Linked DNA regions of Coturnix japonica. The protein of the gene in region 2 interacts with the protein of the main gene of each other region in a pairwise test. Links are inferred from orthologs where the notes say so. Each region holds a gene or a part of one and is shown on either strand. Other genes may lie near its edges.

Region 1 (2,831 bases), on a different chromosome or scaffold from region 2:
ATGCCATCCCGGAGTATATATAGCCTCGGCGGTTATTTAGAGAGAGATTTACGTGCTGCATAGCGCTGCAATGAACAACCAAAGCGGAACGGCTCGGGCCGTATCGATCCGCAGCAGTTTTTCCCACCTCCCCTCGCCTTTTCCTCCCGAGATTTTTCCCCCGCGTGGTTTCGGTACCGCTGAGTCCACACACGGACGGAGCAGAAATCTGGGAGAGAAAAAAAGGGAGTTTGAGAGTCACCCCTCAGCCCCTCAGAGCCCTTTCTGGTAATTAAACTCCAAATGATCCAATCGGATAGCAAACAATTCCGTTTAAAATCTTCCGTGAGTAAACACGCTCTGCATCCGAATGCATTGTACTAATTGCGTTTAAAACAAAACAAAACAAAGCCCGAGAGGAGACCGAACGGCATTAATATTGCTGGAATATTTCAGGAAGCAAATAAAACTAATATACGAGTGGCCATTAACATCATTTCGTTCTCCCTCTGTGTGGAGATGTTTTGGTTTGATGTTCTGAGATTGCAGATTGCAAATCTAACCTTAATTTGCTGTGAGGGCCTTCCTTTAAAATGTCTAGGAGCCATAATTAAAACTATTACCCTCATTTTCAGGAAATTCCTGTCTGGAAGCACCTTCCGAGGAGTATATTACAGGTTTTGAAAACGTTGCCTTTCGTTTCCTCTTCGTATTTAATACTGGATTCTTTTTATTATTGTTATTTTTTCAATTGACTCCGCCATCCCTTCTTCCCTCGCAGTTTTTTCCATCCCTATGAGCGCTGGTGTAAGAACGTTGCGCCATCGCTGAGCGGGGAGGGGAGGGCAGGGGCGCTGCGAGGAGCGCAGCCTCCGCGGGGCTGAGCGCAGTGAGGAGGGGGCGGCGGAGGAGGCTGGAAACGGAGCGCGGTGCTGCCGGGTTTAACCCGGGGATAGAATTTGGGAGCCGGGCGGCCCCTTCCTGCCCCGGCTCATGGATCCCATCGCGGGGGGCTCAAAGCCTTTCCAAAAAGAAAAGAAAAAGTAAATAAAATAGGAGAGAGCCTGGATCGGTTTTTTGCATCAAACACCAGGAGCGGCCCCTGCTCCTCTGTTCCCCAGTCAGGGCTGTAAATTCTCATTAGATATAAAGGCAGAGGCTGCATCCATCCAAGGGCCATGCAGGGACTGATTTTTTTTATTTTTTTTTTTTTTAAACCTAAACATACTAATCCAATCCCCTTTTTTATGATCTGTAACAGGGGACTTTTATTACACAGCATTAGCATTCGGAAACACGGCGGAGCCGGGGCGAGCCGGCCCTAATCAGAGCTGGCCGTGCCTTCTCCCCATGGCGAGGGGAGAGGGGCGGAGGGGGATGCGGACACCCGAGCAGCCCCGCTCGCAGATGCCGCTGAATATCGGCTGCGAGCGGAGATGCGCGGACAGGGAGCAGAGGGGCAGGGATCGATGGGACCGGGAGAGGTGGGACTGGGAGCGACTGGGGCCGTGCCCGAGCGTGGGGAGGTGGGGGACTGAGGGGGTGAGGGGGTGTCGGGAGCGTCTGAGCGCTACTTGCGCGCCTCTGCGCGGCCGGGAGCGCATCGTGCGCGGCGGGGCAGCTCTGACCGTGGCCTGTCCCTCCCTCAGGTTTGGTTCAAGAACCGCCGAGCCAAGTGGAGAAAGCGGGAGCGGAACCAGCAGATGGACCTGTGCAAGAACGGCTACGTGCCGCAGTTCAGCGGGCTGATGCAGCCCTACGACGACATGTACGCCGGGTACCCCTACAACAACTGGGCCACCAAAAGCCTCACCCCGGCGCCGCTCTCCACCAAGAGCTTCACCTTCTTCAACTCCATGAGCCCCCTCTCCTCGCAGTCCATGTTCTCGGCTCCCAGCAGCATCTCCTCCATGAACATGCCCTCCGGGATGGGCCACTCGGCCGTGCCGGGCATGGCCAACTCCGGCCTCAACAACATCAACAACATCAGCGGCTCCTCGCTCAACTCGGCCATGTCGTCACCCGCTTGTCCCTATGGGCCGCCGGGCTCTCCCTACAGCGTGTACCGGGACACTTGTAACTCGAGCTTGGCCAGCCTGAGACTCAAAGCCAAGCAGCACTCCAGCTTTGGTTACGCCAGTGTGCAGAGCCCCGGCTCCAGCCTAAACGCCTGTCAGTACAACAGTTGACGGACTTGACACGAACCACCTCCGACGAACAGCGCCGACAAAGCAAAACAAAAAAAAAAAACAAAACAAGAAAAAAAAACAAAAAAAAAAAAACAAAAAAAAGAAGAAAAAAATACAAAATAAAGCAGAAACAAAGCGACGTTAAACGGAAATGAATATATATATATATATGTGTGTGTGTGTGTGTATGTAGGAACCCGATGATGTGTAAAAGCAAAACCCGAGCAAGTGAGAGAGGGAAAGAAACAGCACAAAAAGGGGGGGGGGGGGGGGAGGGAAGGCAAAATCATAATGATAATAACGATGATAATAAAACAAAACCCGAAAGCTCTGCGGACTTCGATTGTCTAAAAAACCACCACCAACAAAAATGAGAATAAATAAGAATAAATAAATAGAAAAAGAGATCCGACGACACAACCAACAAAAGCAGCGCTTTAAAAACGAATAAGCCAATAGTAACCATTAAAAAAGCAAACCACCAAAATAATAATAATTAAAAATAATAATTAAAAAAATAATAATTAAAAAAAAAAAAGGGAAACGGACCAGAAAACTTTTTGCAAGAGACACCGAAATCTGGTACATGGATGAGTTGCAATTTTTCTCTGGATGATGCGGGTTGTATGTGTTTACTTGAACTTGCACAGGAGGTGGTAAGGC
Region 2 (4,422 bases):
AGCTGAAACGCTGCCCTGAGGATGGGCAGGCTGCAGGGAACGCTGGGCTGGAGATGCACAGCCTCCGAAGGGGAGGAAGAAGGAGAAACCCATTCAATCTGGGCACCAGAGGTGAGAGGAAGCGTTGGATTAAGCCTTGCGAGGTCCCTTCCAACCAAGCAGCCACGCTGTGATTCTTGAAAGAGGCTGAGGGATGAACACACAGCCCTGCAATGCCTTTCTTTGGCACACAGCTGCTGAACACAACCAGCATTCATCTCTTGCTGGTTTTCACTAATCGCTCCGATATTTACAGGCTCACAAGGAGCAGCTGAGCTTCCTCCTGCCCTTCTGTCCCTGCACACCGACTCGTTGCTTTCTCCTGGACACCAACCACCAGGGATCCCAAATATTTCCAGTGCTGCCTGGGGCTCCAGAGCATCTTGGAGACAACGCTGCAGTTGGACGGCTCCAGCCCTTCCCTGGCTTCCTTTGGCTCTCTGGAAAGGAGGAAAGACCCAAACATCTCTACCCCGATGGGGCAGCCCTGGTGCCACCAGGAGAGGTTTCTGCTTTCCATTCCATGCAGTGCTTCAGCACAGTGGGGCAGGATCTCACCCACCGCCCAAGAGACCCCTTCCAGCTGCAGACCCACCTTCCCAAAGTCACTTCTTCCCAGAGGAGCTGGCTGAAATCATCCTCATCTCCCACATTCCTGTGCAGCTGACCTCACTGGGTCTCCCTGAGCCATTCTTCCCTCTCCCTCCTCGTACTCTATGTGCTTTATCTTCAACTTTCATTAATCCACCATCTGCCTCCTCTCACGGAGCCTTAAAGACACAGAGGAGGATGAAAAGGCACAAGGCAGAGCTCTGCTGCCACCAGACCCCTCTTCCCAACTCGAGACGCTGCTATTTATTACTAAACTTTGTTTATAGTTGCGCAGACACTCTCCCACCCACACGGCAGTATTTCATTCGAGACAAGTTTGAATTCACTTCAAGAACATTTCAAAGGATCTCAAAGCATTTGTTTACAAACAGAGCGAGCCCAGAATGGAGAATTCACTTCTCCCACCACGGAGACACGGTCCCCTCAGAGCCGAGGAGAGGCAGCTGTTCCATAGCACCCAACAGCTGAGGGACAGGAAACCATCGGCCAACAACTGATAGCGCAGGGGAGATTTATGGTAAACGAGGGCCGAGGAGCTTCTATTTGGCTGGAGAGAAGGGGGGAAGCTGTTGAGGGCTGCAGCTCTCCGCTGGGCCTGGAGGAATGCAGAGAGGCGAAGCGTCCCAGACTGTGGTCACAGGAGTGACTCCAACTTCCAAGCCTCAACTGAAAGCTGGCATCTCCCGAGCTAACGGGAACCTGGGCACCGGGATGGTTTGGCTGCAGAGGGGAGAGCACCCCCTGCCGAGGCAGCCACACGGCTTTCCATCCAAGCCCCAAACAGGCCCAGCCCTGTGTAACTTACGGCAGGAGCCAAGATTGCAGCCCAGGGAGGCATTTGGCGCGGCACGAAGACACTGGGAAGGCTATAAAACTGAAAGCTCTCTGCAGTCCCAGCCTCCATCCGCAAGACCTACTGTAAACACTCCATCTTCTGAAGGGAAAAAATGCAAAGGGAAGGAGATCACGCAACTCTTTTAAACGGCAAAGCACTAGGGATGGTGATGGGTCACGTGCTGCGGAGGCCAAGAGAAGCTGCGAAGGGAAGGGAGCTCCACAACAAAGCCAGAGGAGAATGAGAGGTGGGAAGAACCCAGGCAAAACAAAGGGTGTCACCAAGAAATGAGGGCCAAACAAAGGGTCTCACTGAGATCTGATCTCACGGGGCTCCCCAGGTCAGTTCATGCCTTGAGGGAGATGGGAGGAAGCAGCTTCCGAGCAGATCAGTCAACACAACTGTCCATGGTAGGAGCAGGACTGAGTGCATCCAAACAACCACGCGTGGTGGAAAGAGCAAAGAAACCATGAAAACACGGGGAGTGGAGGAGAGCTGCCCCAACACAAGGCAGGGCTGCTTCTCTCTTCCATATGGCCCCGCTGTGGAGATGGAGCAGGGCACAGCTCGTCCACTTTGCCCAGAGCCGGGCAGCACATGGAGAGCTCTCAAACCCCTTCATCCATCCATCCCAGAGCCGGGGAGGGGAGAAAGCACTGCCAAAATGGACGGTGCTCCCCAAAATGGATGTGAGGAGAGCCGCGCCGTGCCGGGCAGGGGCCAGGGAGGGAGCGGTGCCCTCGCACCGTCCCCGGGTCCACACAAAGGAAGGAGCCCGGCCCTTGGGAACAGAACGGCGATGCTCGGGGGACGCCGCCACCCCCCGCAGTGCCCCGCGCAGGGCCCGGCCCGGGGCCGCGCTCACCCGAAATCGTCGTCCATGGACTTGAAGTAGAACTTGTAGTTGGGCCGGTTGAGGAGGCCCTTGAAGTCGCCGAGTGTGACGCGCTCGGCCGGGATGGGCAGCTTCACCAGTACGGCGTCTTTCCTGCTCGTCCAGGTGGTAGATGATCTTCCGTCTCGGCCGCCGCCATGGCGCCCCTGCCCGGCCGCCGGGCCGCCGCTCCTCCGCCCCCGGCCCGGCCCGAGACCCCCCGCGCCGCCTCCGGCCGCCCTCCCGCCGCGGTCCCGCTCGGCCCGGCCCGGGCCCGGCTCCCTCGCTGTTCGGGCCCGGCCCGGTTCCGGCCCGCCCGCTCCGCTCCCCCCTCGCCCCTTGTTCTGCGGGTCCCAGCGCCGCCCGGACGCACCGCGCACGCTCCGACCCGCGGCCCCGCCCCCCCCACGGCCCCACCGGAACCGGAACCGGCGCCCCACGGGGCCGCGCTGCTGGGCCGCCCTCGGCACCGCACGAACCGGGTCCCCACACCGGGCAGCGTACACCATGACCCCATACACCGTGACCCCATACACCGTGATCCCCATACACGGGTGCACCCCCCCATACACCGTGACCCCCCATACACCGTGACCCCCATACAACGCGTGCCCCATTACACCGTGACCCCCCATACATCGTGACCCCCATACCGACCCCCATCTGACCCCCCATACACCGTGACCCCCCATACACCATGACCCCATACACCGTGACCCCCCATACACCGTGACCCCATACACCGTGACCCCCATACACCGTGACCCCCCATACACCGTGACCCCCATACACCGTGACCCCATCCCGCAGCACAACGTGCGCATCCCCCCCCTGCGGCTTTGTGCCCCCACTCTGAGCTCAGCCCTGCTCAGCAAACACACACACACACACACACAGAACCAAGCGGGCCAGCATCACCAGGACCGGGTTTATTTGCTCCCTGAATTCAATATTGGCCGATACAGAAAACTCAGACCCCGTTCCCCCAACGTTTACAAAGCTCAGTTTGCACTGTCAGAAAAGAAGCAGTTATTGTGCACAATCCTGGTGACACTGAGTGCACAAGGCGGCCCTGCAGCATCGGTTTGAAGAGGCAGCACCCCCGGCCTCCTGCACCCAGCGCTGTCCCCTCACTGACATCAGTGGCACCGTGGAACGGCCAAGTAAAGATCCTGAGTGGGCAGCTCCAGTGCGTGTTCCCCCTCCCTCTCATGGGCTTTATTCCACGCTCCTCCTGAAGGGGCAGAGGCAAGGTCAGCATACCCAGTTTATCATCCACCTATGAACAGAGGCTGCTCCTGAAAGCAGCTGGTCCAGCTGGTGCCCACAGAGTAAAACACAAGTGTAGCTGTGCAGCAGGAGGAGCCAGGCATCTCTGCTCTCTTTGTATTAAGAAACAAACCAACAAAGGAACAGACACCTCTAAAACAATGTGTCTGCTAAGCTGGGGATGTGCAGAAGGCAGATTGCACCTAAGATGTAATAAGCTGTACAGCATTTCACCGAGCAATGTGCATCTGCTATTAGCCAACCCCATAAGGGGAGCTGAGTGTACACCAGCCATCCCGTGGTTCTAAAGAAGGTGGAAACACGTGGTATTACCAACTCTGCTGTGCAACTTCTCTTTAGATTCTAGCACAGCAGATGATAAGAGGTTCTTCCCTTTCATAAAGATCACAGAAACACCTTCTGGACTGCAAAGTGCCTTGGGCATCCTGAGACAACTCACTGTATCTTCTCAAGGCACAGGAACCCTCGAATCCCAGTCCTGCACTCCAGATCCTAATCCACACGCTTCTACTCACCAACCTTGCCAGCGTCTCTTCAGCAGGAGTTCTTTTAGCTCCAGAAGCAATAATGATTCCCAGTAACTTGGCTGTATGGCCGCACTCTTCCACAACCCAAACAGTTTGATTTACAAGAGTGTTGTATGTATTTGCATCCATTTGCTCCCTTTGTATTGGTAACAAGGAGTTCCCAAATCATAGCTTATAATATACCCTATCCAGGCTCCACAGGGATTCTAGATGTCACTGCCTCCTGCTTTTCCCATTATTCTTTT
Region 3 (4,363 bases), on a different chromosome or scaffold from region 2:
GATCCAGTATGGGGCAGCAATGGGGACAAAAGAGCTGTCCCTGCACCCTTATCTTTCATGTGCTGCTCCCAGTGAACAGTTTGTGCCTGCTCCCTGTGAGTGGACAAGAGGATCAGATGAGCTCAGGAGAGGGGTTGACGCCAGGCAGCTTGGGGCTGCAACTGCTCAGGAGAGCAGCAACAGATGGTGGGGCTGAGAGCAGCTCCTGGGGTGCATGGGCAGAGGGAGGGCATCATGGGGTGGGGTGCGCTGTACCCTTGGCTCGGTTTGTTCAGCTCCAGCCTGGGTTGGAGGGTGGAGGAGTTCCACAGTCATGGGCAGTGGGTGAAGGAGGGGATGTTCCCCTTCTGCACTGCGAAACCTTATCTGGAGCACTGCCTCCTGATGTGGAGTCCTCAGCTCAGGAGGGACTCAGACTTGTTGGAGTATTACCAGAGGAGGGTCACGAAAAGGTTCCCAAGGGAACACCTCCTTATGAGGACAGGCTGAGAGCTGGGGCTGTGCAGCATGGAGAAGAGAAAGCTCTGGGAATGAGCAGATTATCAGGACCTGAAGGAGCTGTAAGAGAGGAGACAGACTCTAGCAGAGGACAAGGGGAAATGGTTTCAGACTAAATGAGGGGAGATTTAGAGTGGATATAACTTCCCTGGAGGGCCCCCCGTAGAAGACAAAGTCTGTTGGAGCACTCCCATGGAGCAGGAGCTGCAGAGGAAGGAAGGAACTGTTTAACTTCCCAGCTGCTGCATGAAACTATCGGCAAATTCAAGTCTGTTTAATCCAGACTTTAATTTGCTCTAAATCCTGCCTTTAGTGCTTTTAATGCCACCTTTCAGAATTAGGATCCTGCGCAGCGGCTGCTTCGAGGGGTCGGAAGGGATGAAGGGGCCGGGATGGGATAGAAGGCAGCGGTGGAATGATGGGGGGCAGGATGGAGGGGAACAGCGGGATGGAGGAGAGGGGACGGGACGGGAGCGGAGCGCAGACTGACCCCTTCTGGCGGGCGGCACCACCGAGCGGCGGCAGAGGCACTCCACCCCCAAACCCGCTGAGTCGGAGCGCGGCCACAGAGTGCGGGATTTCCCGGGGGCGGTTTCGCTCGGCGCTATCGGGCGGGAGCTCAGCGGCACCGGAACGACAGCAGCGGACGGAGCCGCCCTCGGGTACCCGCCTGCCGGGCTCCAGCCGGGGCGGGGCAGCCCCGCAGCGCACCGGGGAGGGGTCGCCCGTCCCGTGCTCGGCGCCGGTGACCCCGGGGCGAGAGGAAAGCGCCCGGCGCCCGCCCCCTCGGTACTCCCCCGCCCCTCTCCTATTGGCAGCTTCGTAGCAAGCCCCGCATCACCATTGGCCAGCACCGCCGGTGGGCACCGCCTCCACCGCAGCCGCGCTCGGCCCCGCTCGGTCCGGAGCAGCCCGGAGCACCGGGCACGGCGGCTTTACCGAGCACCGGTACAGCGCCGCTGTGTCCGGGCACGAAGAAGCCCCGGGGAAAATCAACACCCCGTCCCACCGGAGGAGCCCTTGTGGCCCCGGTGCAGGTAAGGGCTGCAGGCGCGGGGCTCGCTGTCCCTGTTTTCGGCCCCGCGGGAGAGGTTCTACCCTGACCGCGGCTCTGTGCTCTCCGGCCGGGAGCGGCGGGACCGGCAGCAGCTCCAGCAGCTCCCCCTGCGCCTCTGAGCGCGGTGGGGGTGGAAGGAGGATGGAGCTCTGCGCCTGAGAGCGGAACGGCTCCGAGCTGCCCCGGAGCTGCGTGCTGGCAAAGTGCGGGAAGCGGGAGGTCCGGGAGGGGTCCCGGGGAACGAGTGTGGGTCTGGGGGCCGCGGTTTGGTGGGACGTGTTGATGGGGCGGCTGGGTCTTGTGTGGGGCTGTGCCTCAGCTTCCCCTCTGGGTAAAATGTGGGAGAACGGCAATGGAGAGGGCTTCACTGTCGCTGCTGAAGGAGTGTGCTTTGGAGCCCATCCTCCTGCAGGGCGTTAGGGTTTGTGAACCAGGGGCTGCAAAGGGGAGAAGCGGCTCCAGGAAGGATGTGATATGCTGTTCTGTGCTGCGCAAGTGGGGCCGTGCTGCCCTATATGGCATCCACTCTGCAGCAGCCCCAATCTGCACGTGTGGGGTGCCTGTGGGGCACCACAGCTCCCAGGGGCTTAGAGCCCCCACAGCACCATAGGTGGATCTCTGAGGCTGGGAGGATCCCACCCTAGTGTGAGGTGCAATCTCCCTGACTGCTGCAGAACACACCAAGAGGTTTTTAGGGTTCTGCAAACATTGTGTTGTGACCCGAAGCACAGTGTCGCTAGAGGAAGGCTGCAGCAATGGCCCCGTTACAGGACTGCCTCCATCAGGATAAAGTCTATCTGCAAAACTTTACTTCGCTTTGCCCCTGCTGCAGCCTCCCAAGGGCAGGAAGTGTGTGCTGTGCTGTGCAGCCTCGGCACTGCTGCTTCCCCCTCTGCTTTGCACTTCCCCATCTCTCTCCTGAGCCTCTGTCTGCTACGGGTGAGGAAGAAAGGAAGTTGCCACAGGAGAGAGCAATCGTTGGCTGCCTGATAAGGGAAGGAGGAAATAGAAGGTGAGATGGATGAACCAAAATAACCCCTTCCTCCTCCTCCTGCTGCTGCAGCTGCTAGGCCCCTGGGCGTGATGGCACCACTCAGTCCCCAAGCATGGCATAGGGGTGCTTTCCCCAAGGGCCCCTTCCAGGTGCCAGCAGCTGTTCCCATGCAGCACCTGTGGCCATGTCCCCAGGGAAGGGAGCACTATGGGAGCCCTTTCCCCACCTATGTGTGAGGCTGGGGCTGGTAGTGGGAGTCCTTCACCCAGTTCCGTGCATGGGCACATTTGGGCTGCTGGACACACGAGGGTTCCCAGGTGCCCATTCATATTTGGGACCAAGTCAGGTGTTTCCCAGCCCTGCAGGCTGCTTGGGGATGCTGGGCTTGTTGCAGAGGAGCCAACTCCTCCAGGTAGTTCCTGGCTTCTATCCTATTGGGTGTCAGGGGGCACCAGGATGAGCAGTGCTGGGTGCAGGCAGGGTGCTGCAATGACTCTGTCTGCAGTCTAGCTCGCTCCATCCCTCAGGCCTTCTGTGCTGCCTTTGGCCCCTTGGTACCAAGGTGACTGCGTCCTGTGTGTACCACTATGCTGTGCTGCAGGGATGGACAAGACACTTTCTCCTGGGCAGACTTCAGGTTATAAAAGTTTGAAAACCCCCAAAGGCATTTTGTCATCTTGGGTCGTCTCTTCCCTTTTTTTTTTTTTTTTTTTTTTTTTTGCTGCTGAGGAACTGGGCTTGTGCTCCTGACCCCAGCACAGCCACCAGCAGGATGGCATGGGGCCGTGAGCAGTGCTGGAGCAGCCCTGTGCACTGCTGTGTTGCTGCTGCATTGCTCAGGGAAAGGGGGTCATGGCCCAGAACTCAACAGTGGGTCCCAAAACAGCAGAGCAGGGCCATGCAGCAACCAAGTGAGGCACTGCATAAGGCTCAGGGTTTACCCCCACAGTGTTCTTTGTTCCCTGCCCTCACAGTGCTCCTGCTCACCCTGTTGGGTCATAAGGTTTTCCCCGTGCTGTGAGGTAATTCCCCTCTGGCCTCACCCTGCACTGCACCTGCAGGGCTACATGCTCCTATGGCAACACACATACACACACCAGTGACAACCAAAGGTGCCAGCTCCCTTCTGTGCCACCCAGCATGTGGCTGGGGGGGCTGAGCACTGTGGGGTCAGGCTCCAGTTACACCCCAGTGGCTCTGGCCCTTCTCCCGCGATCTGGTGCAGCAGCGAAGTTTAATTAATTAATGTTGGTTGGGCACTTGATGGTTGGCAAGGGAAAGTGATAGGGCAGAGCAGAGCAGCAGTGCGGCGCAGTGTGTGCATCTCCCTGAGTGGCAGTGGGAGAGTATGGGACACACAATGCGGGGACCAGGGAGATGGTGACCCTGAAACATTGACTTTTAGCATTGGCCCTAATAGGAGATGGTGGTGCTGCCCTTAGGACAGTGTTGGAGGGAATGGAAGTTGGCTGTGAGGTGGAGGAGCTCTTAGCTCAAGCCCTCCTTTCTGCATGCTTGCTCCACACTGCCTCATGCATTATTGAAGTGTGTTTTGCATTCCCGCATCAAATATTCATCCTGCTGCCATGGGAGCTGCTGTGGGGCTGCCAGGAGTGCAGCAGGGCCACGTTGTGAAGTGCTGTAGACACCTGGTGATTGGCACCCAGATGGACACCAGCATAGGGTGGTGAGTGTCAGGTGTGAGACTGGGACCCCCCTGGCCCCCTTAAAGGGGTTTTTATTCCCTCTATGGATGAGATTTTCATCCCTACTCACAGACAGTTTTCTCCTTCCTCCACCCCATTCCTGTACCT
Region 4 (4,636 bases), on a different chromosome or scaffold from region 2:
CAATGTTTAACTCATGTGCAAAGATTCTGCTTTATGCCACAGCACTTGCATTTCTTGTTCACTGCCAGCAAGGTTAATTAGGGTAACACAAGCAGATCCATTACCTAAGGATCAAGTTCATTTCATCCTGAAACTACTTTATGAGCTATAAACCTATAACCTTCTTAATAAGTAATCAAAGCTCCCAATGAAACCTCTCCCATACGTTCTTCATATTTCCTGCAAGTCCTTGAGGAAACAGGTATGAAGAAGTCAATCTACAGGAGCACCCATGGACTTCTGCCTGCTGAAGTCTAAACATTAAGACCCTTTAAAGGAACACTCTACAGCCCAACAGAACCCAGAGTCACAGCCTTAGTGTAAAAACCGACCATATGAGCTTCTCCAGACAGCTCTTCTCTGTCTCTTAAACTTTAGTTTACAGCACAAAGACCACCTCTAAGAAAAGAGATGTAGTGAAACAGTCATGAAAACACTGTAATGTAATGACTGTAATGCCTTCATGACTCCTGTCTGTTTGACCTTGTGGGTGGAGCCAAACACAGATGCTTACCCTGATTCTTTTCCTGAACACTGCTCATCTTTGCTACTCTATAAGATATCTGGGCATCCATGCTCTTCTTTCTTCTAGATAGGAACCTCATAAGACGGAGGTACACTCAATTCTTCTTTCCTTTAAACTCCCTGTGGTAATTCATTCACCACAGCATCTCAGAGCTCTGTGCTACGGACCCTGTTATGCTACATGAGCCCAGAAGAGCTGTAACACTTCTCTCCCAAGCACAAAACAGATGGAAGCTTACAAACGTATTGAGAGCTATCAGAAAGCGATTGTACTTCAACCTATTAATCCTGAGCTCTGCAAGAATGCAAGAAGTGAACTGTACATGGCTCTGCCTTACTGCACCACCCGAACGACCAAGCAGAGCCTATTTGTTGTTAAACACATTTGGTTTAACCAGAAGCACAGATCCTTTAAGCCTCTGTTTTGCCACACAGCGGCTGGCAAAGCAAACCACCCTCTACAAAAGACCACAATATTTAAGATCTTGACACAGCATTTTCCCTTGGAAACAGATAACTGTGCCATGAGCTGGATCTTTAAGGCAAACCATTCTCTGCTAGCGGATGGCTCAGAAATCACCCTTGTAATGTGATGTAATTATCAATCCATGCTGGTTACTTAAGGATAAGAAGAACAAGATTCGAGGCACGCACAGTGCTCACAGTAAGAGCTAATTGTACATCGACACTGAGAATGTAGGGATAAAAAAGGACAACATCTGAGGATTAGGAATTCTTGCACCAAAAGTTGCAGGAATAAAGAGAGAAATACTGAGACCTGAAAGTCTTTCCTGATGTGGGCTGGATACATAATACATACATACAGATACATACAGATGAAACCATTTCCCAGCCCTCTTCCATACATAAGACAGTAACAACTGACTTGTTTAACTTCTACCCAGCAGTTAATCTGGATTACGAAGCATGCCTTTACTCTACTTGCACTTTAGAACTCTACTGGTCACCATTTAATTTAGAGAAGCCAAATCTTTAGTAGGAATACCTCAAATCACAGCAAGATTGTTCCGATTTTAACTGCTGCCTTAAAGCACTAATGGCTGCTAATGAAGATTTTGTGTGTCACCACGTTCTCTCATAGCACCCTTCATTCTTTTACACACAGAGAGCACAGATCCCATCACAACAACATGGCTGGATTCTTCATCAAGATGATATTATGGATAACCAGCCTTTCACGACCTGTAAGCAAGAAGCTTCAGCTGACACATTATTTCAGAAGACCAACTGTGCATTGCAACACAAAAAGGTACCATTGCCTACAAGAAAAATACATGTATGCCCTGTGTACACCACTAAATACAACATACATGAGCTAGGGATGCCTCCACTCTCTAGACATGTCCATTTAACCTACTTTAATGCCTGCAAGTTCCTCCCCTCCAGTTATGTGTTCTACTTCCCTATGTTACCTCCATTTCCAAACACCAAACGCTTGTTTCTATGTGGCAGCACAAACATCAGTATCTATAAAACCTATTTCTGTACATTGAATCCATTTTGTGCAGTTTGAGAGATTTAAAATACCACGACAACCTTCAATGCAGCCCATTGAACCATCAGCAGTGAGCCATTACAACACAGAGCAGGTAAAGGCACTTCTATCCCACAGTCTTCACACTCGCACAGAAATCACAGCAGTGATTGCGTGCCTTAAGACAAGAGGGCAGCGTTCAAGTCAGGGCAGAGCTGAGCTGTTCTCATTTTTATGGAGGATCTGATGCATTTTTTAACTTGTCATCCCTGAGTTGTGTGATATTTCTTTCAGGCCTTACAGCAGACAGCAACATCCCTGTGACAGCGATTTAACCCAGTGCGCTGCGGTGACATTTAATGCTGATGCTCGTGCTTCTTTCCCCAGATCTTTTCCCCTTTTACAGACAAATATCGACGCCCAAGGTCACCAACCACCAACGTTACGAGGCAGCCGAATCATCCAGGAGTCCAGCGCTGCCTAAATTAGGACACGATGCGAAGGGAACATCGCGCTGTGCCGGCACCGAGGCACGACGCAGCGTTGGCCATTGAGCTCCGTCAGGACGAGGTGAGGCCCCATAGCCCCCCCCGGTGGGTCCGCACTGAGCCCCGCTCCTTACCCAGGTAAATGTCTCCGAAGGATCCGCTCCCGATCTTCCTGCCCAGCCGGTACCTGTTCCCGACCCTCAGCTCCATGGCGGCGCTTCGCTTCGGCCCCGACCCGGTTCCGTCTCCCTTCCCACCCTTCAGGCCGGCGCTCTTCTATCTCACAGCCCCGCCGTTCCTGCCGCCATCGCGGCCCCGGTCCCGCCGCTCGGTGCTGCCGAGGAGAGCGACGCCGCCCTCGGAACTGCAGGGAAGGATGGACGCGGATTCAGCACAACGCCGAGCCCTCAGCGACTCCGGCCCCGAGCGGCCATACTGCGTGACCTCACTTCCTTAGCAACGGGGGCGGGGCGCGCTGCCTGGGGCGTTGCTGGGGAGCCGCCATAGTGTGTGACCTCACTTGGGTGGACTTCCGCTTCCGCCCACCATTTCCGCTCTCATCCGCCCTTCCCATCGCGCTCCGTAGGTCCTCAGATGACAACTGCGCGTGCGCGTCCTGCCCCTGACCTCTCTGCTCCGCCTGTCTCTATGGTCTCCGGTCCTCCAGGCAATAACACGCATGCGTTTAGAACGCGGGTAGTGGCGTCGCTTTGCTTTTACCGCTCTGCGCCGCCAGTCCTCCAAGATCTATGGTCATCGGTCCTCCAGTTTCCCAATGGACGCGGTCTACATTCCTCCAGTCAACAACAAATAACAATAACAATAACAATAACAAGAAAAGCAACTTTCACATGCAAAATTAAAAAATAAAAGAGTTCATCCCCGTGATAACGAGTATAATTTAGACCAAGGAGTTCTAAACAGAAGCAGTATTTCCTAATGCTGTGGGAAAAATTGAGATCACCCCACAGTCATTCCAGCCCTCGTTACTGTTGCTCATCACATTTGCTTTGCAGAGCAATATCTGGGCAAAGAATTGAGGCATTAACAGCAATTGATTGCTATGGGTGAGCAGATATTCTTCCTTAGCATCACTGGGGTTAATTACGCCGTAGATTTTATTTCCACAGACAGTATATACTCGTAATCCCTCCAGGAGGTGATTCATACACATCTATCTCAAGTAATGGCGTTCCACCATCCATCCCGTGGCTTCTGCTGCCATCTAGTATCCTTTAGCATCACCACAGCCCACTCGGCAGCCTCTGACTTCCCCCACCACCTTCCTCACTTGCCCACTTGATAAACTCCCTTCACTGAGGTTTGCTTAGAAGGAGAATGGCTATTAAAAGTAATTTATAGGTACCAACCCTGTCACTTTTGCCTCCTCAGCCATCTGAGCATCTCTTAGTCTCAGGATAGGGATAAGTTCAGCATCCTGTCTTTACTGGGGAAGGAGAGGGGGAATACATTGACACCTGCCTGTTCCATCCCAGCCTACCCACAGAGCAAGGCTACGCAGCCTTGTGTAAAGGCCCTGGCTTCTTTGATGTTTGTTAACCCCACTCATGCCTTTTCCTTCTTGAGTTTCTTTTGCTGAGGGTCTCTTATCAAAACAGAATAGCCTTACAACATGCTTTCTAGTCTATAATACTACATCCATAACTATTCACAACATCTAAAAGCTATCGCAGTTTTGCAAGCAAGAATTGATCGCATCATACAATTCAACTGCGGTTTTTATAAGGATAGGCTACTGAAATATGTCGCAGATCAACCCAAGAGCCAAAGCGTAGCAGTGAAGCAAGAGCTGGCACTGAGCACAGATACATGTCACAGCCTCCAGCATGGCCGGGAGCTGCAAGGAAGGCAGAGGAAACAGATCCCTTCTGCACTTGGCTTTCAATTGAACAGCAGCCCCAGGGACCCCTGGTTGTTTATGGGTCTCAGGTGGGACCTGCTGGGTGCTCACAGCAGGTAGGGTTTATTATTATGTGCATGTTCCATCCATCTATCCAGGCTTGGCTTAAGGAGAGCAAAAGCACTGCCCAGGGAAGAGGTCCAGAGGGTGGCAGGGGTGCTGCTCCCA
Region 5 (4,532 bases), on a different chromosome or scaffold from region 2:
CTCAGAAGCAGGAGGGCAGCATTTCCTTTGCTTTGTGTATTGCTCAGCTTCAGGAGCTTCATGGCTGCTGGTTGGCACTTCTCTACAGCTTCAAGGAGAGCTTGCTTCACTTTATTCCCCCATACTCAGTTCAAGGCCCAGCTCCTGTGATTGGTATTGGATTTCTATTCATTCTTGAGGCTGTTTCTCTTGTGACAAACAGTTCCTCCCTCCTTTCCATTGGGTGAAGCTGTTTGCTCAGCTTATTGCTTGGTCTGCACAGCACCATTTACACACAGACCCCACATCAGTGCTGCCAGAGGATCCAAATCAGAGTCATTCTTACCAGCAAGAAGATCAGAATCTTAAATGTTCTACAAAGCTGAACCAGAGCTGAGCTCCCGGTCAGTTACTGGTTCCATTTCCCACCTTGCAGAGTTTGGGATCTCTGCTCAGTGCAGCTTGTGCTGCTGTTTGCAGTTGTCTCAAAGCTGCAGAGGGTTCTGCAGGGCTGACCGGGAGGTGGTGGTGTCTAATTAAACAATGTCTCTTTGTGACCATTTGTGGGATATTGCTGTCTTAATAACGGCTTTCCAACACGTTGCCACAGCAACTGAACTCTTCGGAAGGGTTGGTGCTTAGTAGGTGAAGTGTTGCAGGTGAAGTTGTTTCATTAGTAAGAGCTGATCCCGTAATACAACAATTCAACAGCTGTATTCCTAAATATTCTACTACAATGTACGGTGTGTTTATTTCTTCACATCACCAGGCTGCAATTTCAGGCCTGAGCTTCTGGGAGCCCCATATGAGTCTATAGGGCTGATGCTCCTGGCTGTACAGGTGCTTGTGTATCTCCTGGGACTCGTGTGATGCGAGAGCTCACCGAACTTCAGCAGTAATTGCCAGCCAGAATAAACACACTGCCATTAATCTCGACGTGCTGTTGTGATGTGGGGCTGAGGGACCCGTGCAGCTGCAGCGTTCAGTCTCCAGTTTACTGATGATCTGGTGCTGCTCCGGGGCTGCAAGGAATCACTCTGCTGAGCAGAGCTGGGACTGTTATAGGATTGATTCTTTTTTCACGTGTGCTAAATATGTTCTCAAATTCAAAAGCGTGGTTTGATTGCGTGGCACGATGTGCCAAATAAACTGCATCAGAAATAAGAAAGGCTACAGACTTGTGGTTGTTCCTTTCTTAAAACCTGAGAGCAAAATAGAATGATGTGCTCAGTCTTTATGGCCACCTCCAACTGGCTGCAATGGCACTGATGCAAACAAACCTGACTGCTCATTCCACTCTGCCTTTCGCAGCTATAGTAATTTGTGCAGCGTTTCTCTGTTGTCCTCAGTCAGATTTCAACATTCACTTCCTTTGTCAGGATGCTCCAGGTTTGAAACTCTGCACCCAGGGAACCAGGAGGAAGAGCAACAGAAGGGTTAAAAGGAATTATCTGGGCTGCGGCTTTAAAAGCATAGTATGGAGGGCACGAAACTGAATTTAGTAGGAGGTTCTTTGTCTGGAACACTCTTTGGCAGTAAACAGATCTCTGATCTCAGAGGCAATCTGAGCGCCAGGAGCACAGAGGGGCTGCAGACAGCACAGGGCTCTGCAGCCCAACCTGCAGCTCAGGGCACTGGGGGTACGTGGGACCCCCCCGGTGCAGCCATGTCAAAGGGTGGGACTGATGCTGTGGGAAAGAAGCACAGCCTGTGCTTCTAGTTGGACTTCCTGAGACAGAAGGGGGGCAGCGGAGGATGCGGTCTGGGAGATGAGTGGCACCGAGGATGACAGCCGCTGTCAGAAGGCAGTTCGCATCATCTCTGAGCTGTGCCGGAAAAAAAGCCTTCCTGCCCTGGATCTGGACACGTGTAGGGAATTCCTTCTGCCTTCAGACCAGAGCCTGAGCATCTCCAAGCCAGGTACAGTACTATGGTCCTGTGAGCTCAGGACTGCAAACATCCAAAGCAGGGAAATGCCTTCAGAGCGGGGGATCCTCTGGGGGCTCAGTGTTGGAATTAGGGGAGAACTGTCTTAGCACAGACCTGTCTTTATTTTCCTTTATGCATCCCACAGCTGGTGCAGGTTAATCTGTCGGTGTAAGTCGGTGTAACCCCATGGGCAGAGCTGCACTGAGGTGGAGAGGTGGTTGGTGGTGTTAAGTTTCTGTGTAAGTTCCTTGTTTTTAGTTAAAAACCTCAACTCTCATCCTATACGAAGAGAGAAGCAATAAAAAAGCCCGTTTGAGAGACAGAGATGCTTATTGTTACCTCAGCTCAAGGAAAGGAAGGGTTTGCATGGGGTCACCAGGCAGGGTGATGCACGGGCTGGGAGCTGGTGATTGCTCTAAAGGCAAAGGGGCACTTCTGCATGGGAACGTGGTGAATTCCCCTTCTGCTCACAGCTTCTAGAGAGCAGCCCTTACCTGCAACTGCCAAAGACGTTTGCAGAGGGATCAAACATCACAGGTTCACATGGAGGAGCAAAACCCAAGCGAATGAAATGGCACTTTGCTAAGTCATGATCTAAAACAGTGATTGAGCACCTGGTGAGAAGCACAGGTGTGTGCAATGAAATGCACCTGAGTGACCAGAGCCTGGTTCCACCCCTTCCCAAACCTCATTTGAGGGTTGGCAGTGGAGGTAATGGCATCTCACTGGAGATCCTTGCTGCTCTGGAAGCCTTCCTGATGTAAGTAGTTATGTTTTCTTTTGTTTCTATGCTTAGGGCTGTTGCATTTGAGCATGTGTATTCAAAGGTTCTGTGCTAGTTTTTTACCTCCTGGATAGATCTATTAGCTGGTGGATGGGTAAAGTTGAGTTGTCATGGTCATGCAGCTCATGTTGCTGATGAATGGGAGCACCCCAGTATATTGTGTGCTGTGATGAAGTGAGCCAAGTGCCATATTAGCCTTCTTGGATCATATCTGGCCATGGAAAAGGACTGTGGATATAAAAGTACTGGGCTGGTTTCTGTGCAAATAGGTAGCACTGTGCAATTCTGGTTTTGTGCGCTGATTCTCCTGTTTGAAAGTGCTTTGAATTGGATGTGAGAAGAGATTCTGTGCATCAAGTAGATGCTTCCCTACTCTCTGTGCTTTGGGTTATGTAACAGCCTGTTCCCCTACTTAGCCAATAAGAGAAACGTAGCTGCAGCATTTCTCCAGTTCGCCGTACAGCACTGTGTATCAATGAAGGAGCTTTGTGGGCTGCTGGGTTGTAACTCTGTGTGTCTGAAAAATAAGGCTCTTGGGTGAGGAAGGTGTTGTAGGGATGTGTCAGCAGTGCCAGGAATAGCCCTGCTCTCCTGGCTGTGGGCCCTGCGGTTGGACAAAGGCAATGTCCTTTATTGTGCCCATCTGACCCCCCTGCAGCTCAGTGCATCTGACAGCTCTTCCCTGCCCACCCTCATTCACTGTGCAGTGATGCTGTGTGCAGATAGCAGACAGCCACGAGCTACAGGCTGTGATATAGAGCCAACACTTGCCACTGCAGTGATGTACCTTAAGCAAACAGGTATATACTGCTGCACCCTGCAGCTGTGGCAGGCACTCTGAGTTTGCTGAGCTCTCTGGGACTTGAAGAGCACGTCTGCTTCCCAGTGTGGTGTTTGAGCTGTCCTGAGCTCCATCCCTTCCATAACTCAGTGCGCTCTCAGTGCTCTGCCCTTTGTGTGAACTGCTCTTTTCCATGACACAGACGGTTCTTGTGCAGTGCTCAGCACGCTCCTGGCGCTCTGCAAATACTATTAAATGCAAAACCCACACGTCTGTAAGCATTCCTGCTGCAGGAGGGGAGAGGCTGAGCTCTTGTGCAGCGTGGGGAGGTTTGTTGCAGAAATGCTGATGGGGAACGAACATTTTTATATGGGGAAATTGCTTCTGAAGTGTGTTCCTGGGGACAAAAAATATCCCTTGATAGGGCAGCTTGACTAATGGGAACTTGATGGCATGACCATTCACTGATGTGGGATGCCTCGAGCCACTAGCTGTGAAATAAGGGCCACTCCTGCGTTTACTTATTGGCTGTAATAACACACTTCTCTGAATCACTGTTCAAGTGTATTTTAAGTCAATATGGTGGTATAACAGTGAACATGTTTGAAGCCACCCAGGCAAAACTAATACTAATCATCAAGGCTTACGTCTCTGGAGGCCAAGCATGTGAGGAGCAGTGCCTGTGGGCAAAGATCTCTCTTAGCACGGCGCAATGCACTCACAGAATGGATTTTGCCTTCCTCTGTGAGCGCCTGTTCCAGCAGCAGGTAGAGAGCCAGCAAGGGCTGCATGCAGCACATTTGCTCTTTAGCTCAAGCAGAACAGGTTTGTGCTCTGATCCTGAAGGTGTCGTGTTCAAATCTTGCAGCTAGAAGGCTTAAACTCTATTGAAATAAGGTCAAAACCAGCAGCGTAAATCAAGGGGAAATTGATTGTATGGTTTGTCTATGAATATGTTTATGCGTTCGGTGTGTAGCTCCGTGAATTCACAGCTGGCTTTGTGCTCATTGAAATGGTCCTGGTAAATAAACAGCACTATGGAGCTGTGCAGTGCCTGGG

Evidence for each region.
Region 1: the proteins of DVL3 (region 2) and PITX1 interact in binary tests that used the Homo sapiens proteins (3 or more experiments, as listed by UniProt). The two-hybrid records come from large-scale screens. The link is inferred for Coturnix japonica from reciprocal best matches to the Homo sapiens genes DVL3 and PITX1.
Region 3: the proteins of DVL3 (region 2) and TNFAIP8L1 interact in binary tests that used the Homo sapiens proteins (3 or more experiments, as listed by UniProt). The two-hybrid records come from large-scale screens. The link is inferred for Coturnix japonica from reciprocal best matches to the Homo sapiens genes DVL3 and TNFAIP8L1.
Region 4: the proteins of DVL3 (region 2) and CSNK1D interact in binary tests that used the Homo sapiens proteins (3 or more experiments, as listed by UniProt). The two-hybrid records come from large-scale screens. The link is inferred for Coturnix japonica from reciprocal best matches to the Homo sapiens genes DVL3 and CSNK1D.
Region 5: the proteins of DVL3 (region 2) and SYT6 interact in binary tests that used the Homo sapiens proteins (3 or more experiments, as listed by UniProt). The two-hybrid records come from large-scale screens. The link is inferred for Coturnix japonica from reciprocal best matches to the Homo sapiens genes DVL3 and SYT6.

The regions. Positions count from the first base shown.
Region 1 is NC_029528.1:2,532,840-2,535,670, reverse strand, and holds the end of PITX1 (pituitary homeobox 1), read left to right. Parts: intron 1-1,628; coding exon 1,629-2,168; 3' UTR 2,169-2,212; downstream 2,213-2,831. UniProt on the Homo sapiens protein: Sequence-specific transcription factor that binds gene promoters and activates their transcription. May play a role in the development of anterior structures, and in particular, the brain and facies and in specifying the identity or structure of hindlimb.
Region 2 is NC_029524.1:13,798,706-13,803,127, reverse strand, and holds the start of DVL3 (segment polarity protein dishevelled homolog DVL-3), read right to left. Parts: upstream 2,884-4,422; 5' UTR 2,870-2,883; coding exon 2,352-2,869; intron 1-2,351. UniProt on the Homo sapiens protein: Involved in the signal transduction pathway mediated by multiple Wnt genes.
Region 3 is NC_029543.1:4,003,306-4,007,668, reverse strand, and holds the start of TNFAIP8L1 (tumor necrosis factor alpha-induced protein 8-like protein 1), read left to right. Parts: upstream 1-1,346; 5' UTR 1,347-1,535; intron 1,536-4,363. UniProt on the Homo sapiens protein: Acts as a negative regulator of mTOR activity.
Region 4 is NC_029533.1:4,227,951-4,232,586, reverse strand, and holds the start of CSNK1D (casein kinase I), read right to left. Parts: upstream 3,014-4,636; 5' UTR 2,758-3,013; coding exon 2,682-2,757; intron 1-2,681. UniProt on the Homo sapiens protein: Essential serine/threonine-protein kinase that regulates diverse cellular growth and survival processes including Wnt signaling, DNA repair and circadian rhythms. It can phosphorylate a large number of proteins.
Region 5 is NC_029541.1:3,851,671-3,856,202, reverse strand, and holds the start of SYT6 (synaptotagmin-6), read left to right. Parts: upstream 1-1,497; 5' UTR 1,498-1,748; coding exon 1,749-1,899; intron 1,900-1,944; exon of another isoform or gene 1,945-2,668; intron 2,669-3,438; exon of another isoform or gene 3,439-4,532.